Linked DNA regions of Elephas maximus indicus. The protein of the gene in region 2 purifies or fractionates together with the protein of the main gene of each other region. This does not show direct contact. Links are inferred from orthologs where the notes say so. Each region holds a gene or a part of one and is shown on either strand. Other genes may lie near its edges. The genes, in order: CD9 and ITGA3.

The links.
Region 1: the proteins of ITGA3 (region 2) and CD9 purify together in Homo sapiens (affinity purification with western blotting; 3 studies listed by BioGRID and IntAct, with this or other methods). This does not show direct contact. The link is inferred for Elephas maximus indicus from reciprocal best matches to the Homo sapiens genes ITGA3 and CD9.

What each region holds. Positions count from the first base shown.
Region 1 is NC_064822.1:62,978,038-62,985,886, reverse strand, and holds the start of CD9 (CD9 antigen), read right to left. Parts: upstream 3,424-7,849; 5' UTR 3,290-3,423; coding exon 3,224-3,289; intron 1-3,223. UniProt on the Homo sapiens protein: Integral membrane protein associated with integrins, which regulates different processes, such as sperm-egg fusion, platelet activation and aggregation, and cell adhesion.
Region 2 is NC_064837.1:43,578,446-43,586,840, reverse strand, and holds the start of ITGA3 (integrin alpha-3), read left to right. Parts: upstream 1-4,623; 5' UTR 4,624-4,641; exon of another isoform or gene 4,642-4,649; intron 4,650-5,090; 5' UTR 5,091-5,092; coding exon 5,093-5,298; intron 5,299-8,395.

The DNA.
Region 1 (7,849 bases), on a different chromosome or scaffold from region 2:
TGGCTCCTACTCTGCCAGACCGGGGTCCCCTGCTCACGAGGCACTGCTGGCTCCTGGCTCCACAACAACTTTTCAAGGCCCATATTAGGTCCCAAATGCCAAATTTTTAAGCTCCTGGTCTCAAGACAGAAAGGGAAGTGATGACTTCATAATCATCCAAGTAGTTCCCTTAGATCATAGGAAAAAAAAAAAAAAAGATTCCCTTAAAATATATTTTTTAAACTTAAGGAACTCAAAATATATATATATATATATATATTGACAGCTTGTCCTCACCCTTCTACCACTTCCACCTAGCAGCCAAACCTGGCTGGGTCAGACAGCATGCTGCTGCGATAGAAAGCGTGTTGGACTTGGAACCAGCCTGACCTGCCTTCAAGTAGACTTCTGAATCCATCCTGCTTCTTGTGTGACCCTGGATAAGTCACTTAACCTCTCTGGGGACTAATTTCTCGAATCATCAGTAAAATGGGGATGATGTTTCCTGCTATGGCTGTATCATGGGTCACATGCAAGGTCTTGGAAAAGAAAGGACTTTGAAAACTGTAATACTCTGTACACAGTGGATCACAATACCCCTTTATCCCGTTATCTCCTGGGAGATGGGGCTTCACCTCTATAGACTGCAGTATGTGGCGGCGGAACAATAATTAACTCAGAAAATCATAGCAACTGCTCAGCTGCCTACCCCAGTCCATTACCAGATCCCTTGGTGATTTTGTGATGGAGACCAAGAGGACAGAACTGAAGTAAAGGACTGAGAAGTTGCAGTCTTAGCTTGGTCTCTGACTAGCTGTGTGATCCCGGGTAAACTGCCCCCCGCCCTGGTTCTCAGCGTTCTCCCTGTGAATAAGATGGGTGCAGTGGATGATCTCTAATGTCTTCCCCAACTCGAAACCCAAATGTTCCGAGACTGAATCATTGTTTCAGACTACATAGCTGACCAGCAGCACCTGGCCCAGGCAGGGCAGCTCTGAACACAAGTGGAGGGGCAAGCTGGGGATAGTACTGACAGACTGCAAGCCATTAGGCAAGAGACTAGGAGTCTCTGAGTGGTACAAATGGTTAACGTGCTTAGTTGCTAATTGAAAGGCTGGAGGTTCAAGTCCACCCCGAGTAGAAGAAAGGCCTGGGGATCTACTTCCAAAAAATAAGCCTTTCAAAACCCTACAGAGCACAGTTCTACTCTGACACACATAGGGTTGCCATGAGTCAGAGCTGACTTGACGGCAACTGGTTTTACGCAAGATACTGAGCAGATATAGGGGTGGCCCTGGAAGCCTTCCATCAGGCTCCTCCCTATGTCATGGGGCAGCTGGGGGTGTGTGTGGAGGCATACACAATGGTATCCCTCTACCCTCAAACCCTGATGCAATGCAGGCAGATAGCTGAGGACTGACTAACAGTTGTTAACAGACTAGCCTAGCCGGGGAGAGACTGTGCTAGCGAGGCGAGGAGAAAACTCCCCAAAGGACAAGGGTGGGGTGGGGTGCGGTGGGCCCAGCCAGCCTTCCAACATACTTTTCTGGTGCCAGGGTTTTGGTGAGAGAAGGCTGCCCAGCCTGGCAGCTGGCTGGGTCCTGGTGGGAACACCAGGAAGAGGGAGTGCCAACTGCAGTTAGGGTCTCCCTAAAGCAGATCAAGGGCTGGGTAGGGCCACACCTACATGCCATTCTCCCCAGGGTGTGTGTTGGGTGTGATGATTTGCAGGGGCAGGCCAGTTTCTGCAGGCTGGAAAATTGCTCTCCTACCACCTCTTCAGCTCTGGGGAGAGGATTAAATCTTAGATTCACCCCAAGGTTCCTGGGGACCCCTGTGACCAGCCCTAGGGGAACAAGCACACTTTTTGGGACAAGCCTGTGGTGGCAAGGTCTCCATTCATGTACCAGCTTTCTCTTCATGTACCCGTTTCCTCGGCCATCTCCCTTGAGTGTCACAAGGGCTCCCCTGCCAAAGCCCTTCCTGCTCTAGAGGGGCAAATGTTGTCCACCTGCATGCAGAGGAACTGGCCTCAGAACCAGGTCAGAAGGAGATCTATTCCTTGCTTCTGTCCTTGGGCAGTCCCTTAATCTTCTAAGGGAAGGTGTGGGGTGGACACTCTCCTTTTTTGTTGCCTTCCCATTTGCAGAAATGCTCTCTGTGGTTGGCTGTAGGTGTCTCTGGGACTTTCTGCCCAGGTGTGCTCCTCTCTGTGACCCTGCCTTGCTGCTTGGTGGGCTAAAGGGGAGGGGGAGAGGCCAGAGGGATTCCTGGGTGGGCAGCAGGAGGCCTGCACCTGAGCTCTCCCAGAAACGGAGAAACACAGGATTTAACCCGCTGGAGGTGAGGACAGGCATCAGGCATCGGGCATCGGGCCTCTCCTCTGCCCAACTCTCCCAGAGTTCTCTCCTGTTAAGATACTTATCGCCCTGGAGAAAAAACCAAGACAAACTAGTCTTTCAGGTAGCTTTGAGGGAGCTCGAGCTTTCTAACAGCGACTCAGAATCAAAGTTTGAGAGAACAGGCCTGCCAGGTTCCTCCTTGGGAGTGGAGGGGCTATAGGTCTCCACTTTGTTGCCCACCCAGGGGTAGTCGGAAAAAGACCTTATGCCCAACTCTCACTCCGAGAGTGAGCCTCGGAGGGCGGACCCCCCTGGCCGGCCGCCTTTCCCCTCCAGTGTAAACGTGTCAACAGCTCTTCGCTGAGCCTTCCCGGCGCCACCAAGTCCCTCAGAGCGCCCACATCGTCCCCTCCGGACGCCTATACCACTTGTGAAATCCCATCCCGGTCAAGAACTGCACCCCCGTCGTCCTTGGCCGGGGCCTTGAGCTGCCGGAAGAGGGGTGCTCTTTTTCTACCTGTCATCTTCTCTTCCTGCCTTCGGAGGGGCTTGGGTGGGAGCAAACAAACTCCAGTCCAAATCCCTCAGCAAAGGAGAGGGCCAGGACCGTATCCAGAGTCCCAGCCCACTGAGACCCCCACCTTCTCCCAGCCTGCTCGCTTCGGATGAGTCCCTCACCAAAGTGCCCGCCCCGCCCGTCTCCGCACCCGGACGAAAGCCAGCTGGCGGCCACAGAGCCATTTCTATTCCCCGTCGGTGTCTGCCCAGCGCGGGCAGTGCCAGCCGTCGGCGCCCCCAGCCGCCTGGCACCCCCGGACGCGGACAGTGTACCCGTGCGCGCGGCCTCCGGCCCGGGAACAGGTGGTCCCGGGGAGGAGCGCACGGCAGTCGCGCTCACTTACCCAGAAGATGAAGTTAAATCCGAAGAGCAGGTATTTGATGCACTTGGTGCCTCCTTTGACCGGCATGGTGCAAGCTAGACTGGACTGGGGCGGACGGATGCGGGACTAGACTGGACCGGGCCAGGCAGACCACGCGTCGGACAGAGATGCTGTCGGCTGCGAGTCCTTCTCCGGGCTGCACTTTTAAAAAGTGCCACTCCTTAAGGCGCGCGACTGGGTGCGGTGCGCATGTGCAATGGTCCTGCCCCCCCCCCCTCGCCGGGCCCACCTGCCCCGCCCACCCACCTGCCCCGCCCACGCTATGCGGCCCGCCCCACCCAGGTTCAAACAGACTCCGGCCCTGGCGGCAGCTCGGAATCCGCCTTGCACTCTTTCCCCTCCTCCCTCCAGCCTGTCCCTCTCCCCACGACTTGGCCGTGCCCTGCTGTCTTCTCTTTCCTCCCGACTACCCTTGGGTTTTTCCATACCGCCATTCCCAGCCACTTTTACCAAGGAGTTACGGGGAGGCCTCTCCCTTCAGGGCCACCCTTTGTTGATTCTGGGCTTCCCGCCGAACCCTCTCCTTTGGGAGATCCTCCGCCGGTCGTTTGGGCTAAAGGCCCTTAGCCAAGGCCACCTGCCAGGTGAACGAGGGCTCTTTTCGCTTTGGCCAATTCGAAGGGCAGTTCCCTGGCTTTATTTCTCCCCTGAGCGGCTCCTTGCAACCCTTCACTCTTTGAGCATATTCTTTTTTTTTTTTTTTTGACACGTCTTGCGGAGTAGGAGGAATTAGAGACTTGCTGTCCAGGTGAGACTACTAATCGGAGGCGTGTGGAAATAATTATCAAATACCAGTCACCGAATAGTAATATGGCTGAGGGTTGGGGCATTCCAGGAGCGCTTCCTGGATGTGTGGGTTAGATGCCCCAACCAAAACAACCCATTGCCATCCAGTTGATTCCGACTCATAGCAACCCTACAGAACAGACTAGAACTGTCCCAGAGAGTTTCCAAGGAGTACCTGGTGGATTCGAACTGCTGACTTTTTGGTTAGAAGCCCTAGCTCTCAACCGCTAGGCCACTGAGGTTTCCTTAGATGCCCCAGAGGGAATCAAAGTTTGTAGCCAGTTCTTGCCGGGACTCTTCCACCCCATCCTCCACGTCTGGTCTTGTCCTGATTCTGCCATTGCTGCCGCTTTAGTGCTCCAGCTGTCCAGCACCGATGGCAGTCGAAGTTTCTCATCCTGGCATTCAAGGCCCTGTTCATAACACTTGAGGCCCACCCTGCCCTATTTACCATCGTACAGCCCAGCTCTGCACGTGGGGTGCTCTCTGGCTGGCTGGCCTCCCCTCCCACCTTCCATTGTAGAAATTCTATGGCTCCTTAAACACTCCTCTGATTCTCACGACTCGGTGAGGAAATTCCCCTTCTCTTGAAGTCCCAAAATTCTTGTATTTCCCCCCCCCCAAAATGAAGTTTCCTTTGGTGTTCTTCTTTATTTGGAGAGTAAAACATACTGATTACAGAAACATCAGAAAATACCAACAAGCAAAAAGCACATAATTCAAGATTTCACCCACCAGAAACAGCCACTGTTAGCACTTTGTAATCTTACTTTGCTCTATTTATTATCATTTGAAAATTTGTCTCATCGATTAATTCATTGATAGATTCATTCATTCATTCATTCAAAAACCATTTTCAGAATCTATCTTATGAAGGATATTTTGTAAGGTTGCAGGGGCTGAAGGAAATGAATGGGTCCTGTTTCTGCTCTCCTGGAGCTCAGAGTCTGCTGGGGGAGGCAAATACCCAGTCAGACAATGGGATAAGGGTGACCCTGTGGCATCATAGAGATAGGTTTAGGGGCTAAGTGAGCTCATAGGAGGGACCTCTGACCCAGATTGGGAAGCGATGCTGTGGAACCACAGGGAAAGTTACAGGCAAGGGAGAAACCTGGGCTCTCAATTGGGGTAGGAGTGGGGGTAAGTGAAGGTGGAGACCTAGGTAGGAGTGAGGTGAGGAAGAGCCTCCAGGTCCTGGACCTTGCACTTGAGAGCGAGGGGGTAGGTCAGGGTTGAAGCTGGGAGTGGTTTGATCAGCTGTGGGTTTTAGGTAGATTCCTACCTGTATGTTAGGTAGGTGGGTAGTGGAGGGTAGGAGGGGCAAGGAGTAAACTCCTTAAGGATAAAGGACATTGTATCTCCAGACCTTCTGGAGATTGGACGGTAAGTCGGGAGGTGTATCAGGAGAGCTGCAAGGGGGTGATGTAAGGGGAGCAGTGGGAAATGAATGGTGAGCCAGGACAGAGTAGAGAGGCCCTCTGTCTTCAGTTGTGCAGGATCAAGTGGGGAGCCCTAAGGGCTGGTGAGCAGAGGATGGCAGACGACCCGGATGGATAGGGATAGCTGGTTGTTTGTGTGTGCTGTACTACAGGGGGCGGGGGCGGTGTGGGGAGATGCTGAAGCAGGAAGATCAGGTAGGAAGCTGCTGAACTGTCCTGGTGAGAGATGTGGAGGACTAAACTAAGGTGGGGTGATGGGATGAAGGCTGGAGAATGTACGGCCAAACCTGATGGAGAGTCGATGTGGGAGGGGGAGAGGGTAAGGAAAAGAGGGCAGAGGCAGAATGGCAGAAGCCAGTTTATGGAGGGCTTCATTTCATTTTTCTTCTTTAAATGTTTATTGAGAACCTACTATGTGTCACATACTGTGCCAGATGCTGTGGCTACAGAGACGAATCTCCGGGTAGGGTGAGAGACCCATTAACAGACAAGGACAAGTACATGGGATCTTTTCTCTGAGAGGGATGTGGTCAGGAACAAGTGGGTACAGGCTCCACGTCTGCTGAGTCAGAGGAGGCTCCCCAGAGCAGAGGGCACTGATGCTGACTGTGAGGATGTAAGACAGAGGAGGGAATTCCAGGCAGAGGCAATTATTTGCACTGAGGCGCAGAAACATGAAACCACACACTGGCTGGCTGGCTGCTCAGGGAAACTACCAATAGCGGGACGTGGGAGATTAAAGGGAGGACAAGGAAGAAGCTGAGAAAAACGAGTTCCCTTAAATTGAGCCTACACCACTAGTGGCCTAGCAGAGGAATTTCAGTAATGTTTTAATTGTTATTCAAGCTAATCCAGGGTCCACTGACCATTGTTCCTGCCCCGCAGTGTTCAAGGCCCTGAGGGGGAAATAGAAAAACAATGTCCCATTGTGCTGTTCTCTGCAGGAGCCCAACCTACCTAGGGAGACAGGTCAAGGAAAGAAAAGATTTTATCTCTACCATTCTCCAGGTGGGAGGAGTTCAGTAAATAAATTTATAAAAAAAACTATTTCTTAGGGGACTTGTGAGTATTAAATGAGTTAATCCACACGTGGGGCTTTCTACAGTGCCTGCCACAAAGGTGCTCAAGAAATGTTAGCTATTGTTCTTGTTGCTCAAGAAAAAACTGCTGTTGTTGTTTGTTAGGTGCTGTCAAGTGGGTTCTGACTCATAGTGACCCCGTGTACAACAGAATGAAACACTGCTGGTCCTGTGCCATCTTCATAACCGTTGCTATGTTGGAGCCCATTGTTGCAGCCACTGTGTCAGTCCCTCTCGTTGAGGGTCTTCCTCTTTTTCGCTCACCCTCTACTTTACCAAGCACGATCTCCTACAGGGACTGGACTGGTCCTTCCTGATAACATGTCCAAAGTATGTGAGATGAAGTCTCCCCATCCTAGCTTCCAAGGAGCATGCTGGCCGTACTTCTTCCAAGACAGATTTGTTCGTTCTTCTGGCAGTCCATGGTATATTCAATTTTCTTCCCCAATACCATAATTCAAAGGCATCAGTTCTTCAGTGTTCATTGTTCATTGTCCAGCTTTTACATGCATATGAGGTGATTGAAAATACCATAGCTTGGGTGAGGCACACCTTAGTCCTCAGAGTGACATCTTTGCTTTTTAACACTTCAAGGAGGTCTTTTGTAGCAGATTTGCCCAATGCAATATGTCATTTGATTTCTTGACTACTGCTTCCATGGGCTTTGATTGTTAATCCAAGTAAAATGATATCCCTGACGACTTCCATATTTTGTCTGTTTATGATGATGTTGCTTATTGGACCAACTGGGGGGATTTTTGTTTTCTTTATGTTGAGGTGTAATCCATAGTGAAGGCTGTAGTCTTTGACCTTCAGTAAATACTTCTAGTCCTCTTTGTTTTCAGCAAGCAAGGTTGTGTCCTCTGCATAATGCAGGTTGTTAATGAGTCTTCCTCCAATATTGATGTCAAGTTCTTCGTATTTGTAAGTTTAGCTTCTCAGATTATTTGCTTAACATACAGACTGAATAAGTTCGGCGAAAGGATACAAGCCCGATGTACACCTTTTCTGATTTTAAACCATGCAGTATCTCCCTTCTCTAGTCCAAAGTCTGTTTCTTGGTCAATGTACAGGTTTCGCATGAGCACAATTAGATATTCTGGAATTGCCATTCTTGGCAATGTTATCCATAATTTGTCACGATCCACACAGTTGAATGCCTTTCTGTAGTCAGTAAAACACAGGTAAAGAATGATATCTCTAGGTCCACGCTGTTAATTGCCTTCAAGTCAATTTTGATTCCTGGTGACCTCACATATGCAGAGTAGAATTATCCATAAGAT
Region 2 (8,395 bases):
GGACAATGAGTAAGGAAGACTGAAGAAGAATTGATGCCTTTGATGGACGTGTTGGCGAAGAATATTGAATACACCACAGACTCCCAAAAGAACAAACAAATCTGTCTTGGAAAAGGTACAGCCAGAATGCTCCTTAGAAGCAAAGATGGTTAGACTTCGACTTACATACTATGGACATGTTGTCAGGAGGGACCAGTCCCTGGAGAAGAACATCATGCTTGGTAAAGTAGAGGGTCAGCAAAAAAGAGGAAGACCCTCAGCGAGATGAATTGACTCAGTGGCTACAATGATGGGTTCAAGCATAACAGAGACTGTAAGGATGGCGAAGGACGAGGCAGTGTTTCATTCTGTTATGCACAGAGTCACTGAGTCAGAGCCAACTCGACAGCACCTAACAACTACAACAACAATCTGTATGGAAGCAGATAACCAGGTCTTTTCTCCCAAGGAGACACTGGTGGGTTCGAACTGCCGACCTTTCGGTTAGCAGCTGAGCGCTTACCCATTGCACCAGCAGGGCTCCTTAATGTGGGCTTAGCCTGTTTCAGTTGAAGGACTTTCAGAACGTGGAGCCACGATGAAACCCTGGTCTCCCTGAAGAGACCCTCATTCATCTTTGGCACACCCCTGGGTACTCAGGTCTATGCTGGCACATAGTAAACTAAGTTGCGATCGAGTGAACTCCGACTCATGGCAACCCCATGTGTGCCAGAGCAGAACTGTGCTCCGCAGGGTTTTCAGTGGCTGGTTTTTTAGAAGTAAAGCACCAGATCTTTCTTCTGGGTTACCTCTGGGTAGACTCAAACGTCCTACTTTTCAGTTGGCAGCCTAACTCTTTAGCCATTTGCACCACCCAGTGGCTCCTCAGCACACAGGAAACCAAAAAACCAAACCCGTTGCCTTCAGGTCAATTTTAACTCATAGAGACTCTATAGGACAGAGTAGAACTGTCTCCACAGGGTTTCCAAGGATCAGCTGGTGGATTCAATGGCTGACCTTTCCGCTAACAGCTGTAGCTCTTAACCACTGTGCCACTAGGGCTCCCAGCACATAGTAGGTTGTCAGTAAATGAGGCCAACAGAGATCCTGAGCCACGGACCAGGCTCTCCTGCCCCACCCCTGGCTAGCTTCCACTCACATCTGGGTCAACGGAAGAAAGGAAATCTGATAAACCCATTCACACTTCACCACTCCTCCCTCCCCTCCCAGTAATTTGCATTTTCAATTCAACTCAGAGATAGTGACTGGAGTCTTAGTTCAACTGCAGAGATTTCGTCCACTTAGTTCAATAAATACTAGGAGCCTGGGGACGCACAATGCTGGAGCTGGCTGGAGAAGGATGGAGGGATTTTCTCCAGCCCTTTCGTTTTACTGACTCGACAGCAGTGGGTCTGTTTTTTTTTCTGTTTTTTTCATTTTGCAGATGGGGAAGCCGTGGCCCAGAGCAGGAAAGTCACCTGCCCAAGGTGAGAAGGTAGAAGAGCTGGGCTCTACACATATGGCACCATGATTCCACTCCACTGATATTCCTTCAGCACCTGCCTGTGCTCTTAACCCCTCCACTTCGTGCTAACCTTAAGGTAAGAGGGGAGACAGAGCCAAGTGGTGTCATCTGAGGCTCCGGGAGAGGAAGATGGAGTGGGGTGGGGGCCAGGCAGAGGAAGGCTGGTGTAAACACAGCAAGCACTAAATAAATGGAAGCTGCCTTTCTAGATACTGATGTTGCCATTCTTCTCGCTGGGAAAACTTCACTCCAAATCAGGCTTCGACTTTTGCCTTTCTTCTATCCCGAGGCTCCTTCTTGCTAGTCCTTTTTTTCTCCAACCTTATTTAGACACTCCTCTTCCAGGAAGCCTGCCCTGACCTTCCCTGACCCTACAGCAGAGCCCATGGTTTGCATGTTATTCCCGTGTCCTGTTTCTCTGTCTCTGTCTGCATTCCTGGGTGGGTCCCCTCTCCATGAGGAAGAGCTAACATGAAACCAACTGAGGCATGAGATGAGGCTGTGGATGATAATGGACTGAAGCCAGTGGAGTTCAGACCTTTGAGGTGAACTTGGTGCTTCTCTTTCTGCATCTCTCCGGCTCAGACCCTTCCAGTCTCTGTGTCTCCCTCCACCCTCATTCCAGCCCCCAGATCTGTCTGACACTCCCCCACATTCCTCAGCATGAGCCCTCTACCTACCAGTCGCCCCTGCTCCCACCCCCACATTCTCTCTAGACACTCTGCTGGAGTGGAAAAACCAGCCCTCAACCCTTTCCTGCCCCAGCTCCAGGATCGGACATGCTGATCATTCTTGTTTGGGATGGCCAAAGAGATAAAGACTGGCATGGTGTCAATCTGTCATCCCAGGACTCTCAGAGATGTTTCAGATACGACCCCTGTCCACACTGGGTGTCCATGTTGGACCCCTGCCCATCTGGCCCTGGCTGGCTCCTATTCTGCAGGAAGGAGGTGAAAGAACAGCAGCCAACCAGAGGGAGGGCAAAGGCTACAGGTCATCTTCCTGTTCCTTGACCCCAGGTGTCTCCTAACCTCTAGAGGCCCTGGGGGATCCAAGAGGGACCAGAGAAAGGCTGCATGGCTCTGAGAGTTACAGCTCAGGAACAAATGCTCTCTGAAGGGCAGACAAGGACGAGTGTCCTCTCCCCAAACACCACACAAAAAGCTGTTATCGCAGCTGTTTTTGTTTAGGTGTGTCTGGCCATCTGGCCAACATCTGCCTAGAGTTTGTCACTTAAAGACACAGCTGTGCTCAGCAGCTTTCAGTCCTAGCTCTACCGCCCACAAGCTGCGTGACCTTGGCCATCCAGGTAACCTTCAGAGCCTCCATTTCCGCTAAGTCAAATGAGGACGATAACCCTGACCTCACAGGGATGCCAGGAGGATGAAATGAGAGTCAGAATATGAAATGATTCATAAACTGTAAAATTAGACTCTGGGCTTTATATCTAATTTCGTATTCATAATTCTTTTTCTTAAAGAGAGCCCCCAAATTGTACAAGCTTCAGGCCTCACCAAACCTGGATCTGCCCTGAGCATTGTACAAATGTTAATTATTAGCGTAAGTGGTTAAGAAAAAGGACTCCAGGGTCGGATAACACAGGATCAGAACCCTACCTCTATGGCCTTCACCAAGCTCCTTAACCTCCGTGAAGTTCAGTTTCCTCATCTTTAAGATGGCAATAACACGTTCCCTTCCTGTTATCAGGAAGGGCCAGTCCCTGGAGAAGGACATCCTGCTTGATAAAGTACAGGGTCAGAGAAAAAGAGGAAGGCCCTCAACAAGATGGATTGACACAGTGGCTGCAACAATGAGCTCAAACATAGCAACAATTGTGAGGATGGCGCAGGAGTGGGAAAGGCTTCATTTGTTGTGCATAGGGTCGCTATGAGTGGAACCTACTCGATGTCACCTAACAACAACCACAGAAATGGAGATAACACCTCAGAGATCATTTTGAGGATTTAATGACTTTTGTAAAGCACTTAGCATAGTTCCCACCGTATAACTGCTTAATGCATGGTATGTTTCTCCTTATTATTATAAACTCCCAGACATTGGGGCTGAAGGCTGAATTTCAAGGGAGTGGACACTGAGGGATAGACTCCTGGACCAAAATAAGAAAGCATCTTTAGCCAAGAGAAGAATGCTCAGAGAATGATGGGTCTTTGTGCTGCAATAATGGAAATCTGTGTTAGACTCAAAGTACATAGCGACCTATTGAAGTTCCCTTCCAGTTTGATCTTTTCCCCATAACCAGACCTTTGGGCCACACCCACCTATCTCTACCCGGCGCTTCCCACTACACCTGTGGTGGCTCAGCGTCCTCACTCAGTCTCCAAACGTTCAACCCAAACCTGGATGGGAGGAGGAGACTCTTGGGATTCTGCCAGGCTGGGCCCTGAAAGCAGGAGTGACTGAGAAATGGATACAGTCTGGGCCAGGCTCCACCGCCTTGAAGTGCCATCGAAGGAGAAGCTCCACACCGACAGGTTTACAAGGGATATCCGAGGACGCAGCCCTCTTGGGAAAATGCTGTCTGGCTGCTAATTATAATTAGCAATTATTGATGTTTGGTTGTTAACACTGCTAAATATCTGTCTGGCTTTGCCGAGGGCCTATTCCCGGTCAGAGGGGTGGGCCAGAGAAATAAATCTCGACCAGGAAGTCCAAGAGGCTGGGTGCGAAAAGGAACTTCCAGAGACCGCTAGCCACGTCTCAGGGACTCACAGCGCCGCAGAGGCGACCCCAGCACTCCCGGCAGGCGCGCGCGGACGTCGGTTCCCAGACGCGCCAACGCCGGCGCTCTCCGGCGGTCAGATCGAGGTGGCTGCAACTGGAACGGCGTTTTCAGCAGTGGTAGCAGCCGCAGCAAAGCGGCGGGACAAATCCTACCTCCGGCCCCGACAGTCCAATCCATTTTGCTTGGAAGAAGACGCTTCCTGGGAGCAGCAAGGCGCGGGGAGGGGAAATCCAAGCCTTTGAGGGCCCCCGGACAGGTGTTTGGGGGGGAGGGCGGAGTCGGGGAAGGGAGGATGAGGAGGGAGGGGCGGTGCTGCCCCTTTAAGAGGCGGTGGCCGAGCCGGGATCTTTTCTCTTTCCCCGGAAGGAAAGCGGAGCCGGGCTGGGCGCGCAAGGTGGGGAGGTGCGAGGCTGGGCGTGGGAAGGCGGGGCGCGCGCGGGGGAGACCCCTCCCTCCCGTCCTTCTGGTGGTGGACCGGTCCGCCGACCCAGATCTGCTGCCGACCCAGATCTGCCGCCGAGCCCGGATCGAAGGCGACAGCGCGGCCAAGGGGGCGCGGCTGGGACAAGCTGGGAGGCCGGGGGCCCGGGGCGAGAAGCGGTGACCCTGTGTAGGGGGAGACAGGAGACTAGATCCGCGGGCGGAGCAGAGGGATCGGGGAGCGCTGACCCTGAGCGGACGTGAAGGACCAGGGCTGGGAGCAGGGAACTGATCAGTACCGCAGGCGCAACGACGCGGAGGGCCCGAGTGTCCCGGGCTGCACCCGGAGCAGGTGGAACGGGTCCTCCCTCCCAGCTCCGCTCTCTCACGCGCTTTCGCCCGGCCCCGGTCTCCCGCTCGCAGCCATGGGCCCCGGCCTGCGCCGCGCACCCGGTGCCCCGAGCCCAATGCTCTGCGCCCTCGCCTTGATGGTGGCCGCCGGCGGCCGCGTCGCCTCCGCCTTCAACCTGGACACCCGATTCCTGGTGGTAAAGGAGGCCAGGAACCCGGGCAGCCTCTTCGGTTACTCGGTCGCCCTCCATCGGCAGACCGAGCGGCAGCAGCGCTACCTGTAAGTGTGGCTGGCGGGGGTGGGGGAGGGAGTGTGTGTGTTGTGGGGTACCGATCAAGAGCGGATTCGGAACCCTGGGCCCGCATACTTCCAGGCCTGCTACCGCCGAACCCTGCGAACGGAGGGGTTAAGTGGCAGGGAGCCGGATAGCCCTCCGGCTGGTGTTGGGCGGGAAACTGAGGGATTGGGTGTGGGGTGAGGGACAGTCGTCATTGGCAAGTGCTGACCGGGCCACAACGTGCCTAGGCGGAGCCTCCTTGGCCTTTAGACCTCTCCTGAGAGCGGAAGTGGGGTCTTCGCTGCTGAGTGTCTTTCCGTTCTGTGAACCAAGCGCTGAGCAATAGCCTCTTCTTCCAGAGCTGGGAGCTGGGGCAAACTGCAAGATAAACACCTAGTGGGACCCCTCTTCCCCCCCAACACACGCACATGGAAAGTACCTATGGACATATGCATTTAAACCCACTTCCTCCGCTCCTGACACCTCGAATTTAGTCTGTGGCCACTCAGCCAGCCACACCCTCTGCAGAGCCAGACTGGAGGGCCTCCTCCACCACCACCTGGGGGTTGGAGGGTGAGATGATGGGTAAATCTGGGCGGTTGGAAATGTCAAAGCGCCCAAGCAGACCCCTTAAGGTTGTGGGGAGTAGATGAGAGAGGAGGGGCTGCCCCAACTTCTACTCATCTCCTGCCCTCCCCCCACACACAGCCAGCAGTGGCGCTCTCCCCACCAGACATCATCCCGGCATTCCACAGATTCATGTTGAATCTTCAACCCTGAGTGTGTTTGTTTTGGTTTGAAGAGGGAAATGGTGTTTTTCTCTTTCTTCTGGTCTCCTTCCCCAACAGCTGCAAGAAGAAGGAGAGGGAGGAGCTAGACATAGGGAACAGAGGGGAAGGAGATTGCAACCAGCTGCTTGCCACCCCCCCATTCCCACCACACACACACACACATACACGCACACACATGCGCAGGCACATACGAGCACACACACATGCCCAGAGGGACATGTCTAGGTCTGGGAGGTTTCTCTGCCATGGGCTTCGAGCATGCTGAGGTTGGCAGTTGGGGGAAGAGGCATCTAGAGGAGGTGAGGCTGCCCAGCGAAGGCCAGTAGTTAGGACAGGCCAGGCAGGTCTCACCCACCTCTTTGGGCTGAGTGACCTGGCAGGAGTCTACCCCTACCTGGCCTCTCACTCACTACACTGAGCTAGAGGATGTGGTCAGATCAAGGGTGTCTTAAAATTCCTCCCAGTTCTGCCTGGAGCCTGTAGAAACTGAAGGAAGCTTAGAATGTTCAAAGTCCAAGCTCTGCCACAGCCTTGGCCCCTGCCCTGCGGGCCCAGCCCCTGCCCTGCCTGCCTACCTGGACTTGGCTTCAACTCTGTCCAGCTTCTGCAGAGGCTGCAGCTGCCACACCCTACCCAGCTTGGCCCCAGCAGCTGAGATGTGGCCTTGGCCACTCCTCCATTTTTTTTGAGACCCTAAGTGACCATTGGAAACCCTGGTGGCGTAGTGGTTAAGTGCTATGGCTGCTAACCAAAAGGTGGGCAGTTCAAATCCTCCAGGCGCTCCTTGGAAACTCTATGGGGCAGTTCTACTCTCTCCTATAGGGTCGCTATGAGTCGGAATCGACTCGATGGCACTGGGTTTAGTTTTTTGGTTTTAGGTGACCATCAGCGTAAGTTTCTATATTGGTGCTCTCTCTACACCTGCCCAGAAAAAAATTTGATTTGACTTGATGCTGAATCTGCACAAGGAAGCAAAAAATCTGAGTGTAAATTATTCTGTACCCACCCCCTTTGCTGTGTGACCTTGAGCAAGATATTTCCCTTCTCTGGGCCAGTTTTCCCCAGAGGGGTTGGACCTGGATCCATATATTCCTTCCCACCTCTGTTGTTCTATGGGAGGCAACTTGACGTTGTGGACGGAGAAGAGGCTTGGGAGTCCCAATGCCAGTGAGCTGTCTGGGGTCTATCCCTAATAACTAAGCCTGAATGCCGCCGTATATCTGTGGGGGTGGGGAGTGGACAGCACCCTTTCTCATGGGGTGGTACCAGATGCCATCAGGTCGATGCCGACTCCTGGTGACTCCACGTGCGTCAGAGTAGAGCTGTGCTCTGGTTTTCAGTGGCTGATTGCCAGGACTTCCTTCTGAGGTGCCTGTGGTTGGGTTCAAGCCACCAACCTTTTGGTTAGTAGCCCAGCCCTTCACCAATCTTGATGTGGTGATGTTGTTGTTGTTATGGGCCATCAAGTCGATTTCAACTCCTAGCGACCCCATGTGACAGATTAGAACTGCCCCGTAGGGTTTTCTAGGCTGTAATCTTTATAGAAGCAGATCACCAGATCTTTGTTCCGCAGAACCTCTGGGCAGGTCTGAACCACCAACCTTTCAGTTGACAGCTGAGGTGAGAGTGTAGTTTAATAAAACAATATGTCTAAAGGGCTCTGAACAGCTTATATCTCCAGGGAGTGCTGAAGGCCCTTGTGTCAAGGCCAAGTCTCTGATGCACTCCCATTACTCACCAACCTCACCCAAGATGGTTCAGCGGAGGGGTTCTGCTTCTCTTCCTTGAGGGCTAGTGATGACAACTAGGCCTGACAAGAGCCCAAAAGGTTCTAAAGCTAATTGTTTGCTGCTTTCTGAACATCTGAGAGGCAGGCAGTTCTAGGTAAAGTTCTGGGTCCCTCCTTGGGTACCCTCTGTCTTTCCCAGTAGTGGTTCTATATCTTGGCCCATCTCATTGAATTCTGCCCCTTAGCCCTTTGCGAGAGCCAGCTGGACCAGCTGGGCATAGCTGGATTTAGCTGCAATCAGCTGTGTAGCCAGATGTGAACAGCTGCTTCGGTGCTAAGCTCAGGGGAACTAGCAAGTCAAGCTGCAGCCTCATCTTCTATTAGCCTCAAGGTTCCTTGAAGAAAGGGGGAGAGCTCAGGGTCCTGAGTAGGCTCGTAGCCTGGGGGGCTCATGGAAGGTTTTCAAGAGATGAAGGAACCCCTGAAATTATATGCAAAACCATGTGTGTTGGTGCATTCTTCTGGTGTGGGCCGTGGGGGGGCGGTGGGGAGTACAGCTTTCCTCATATTCTCTAAGAC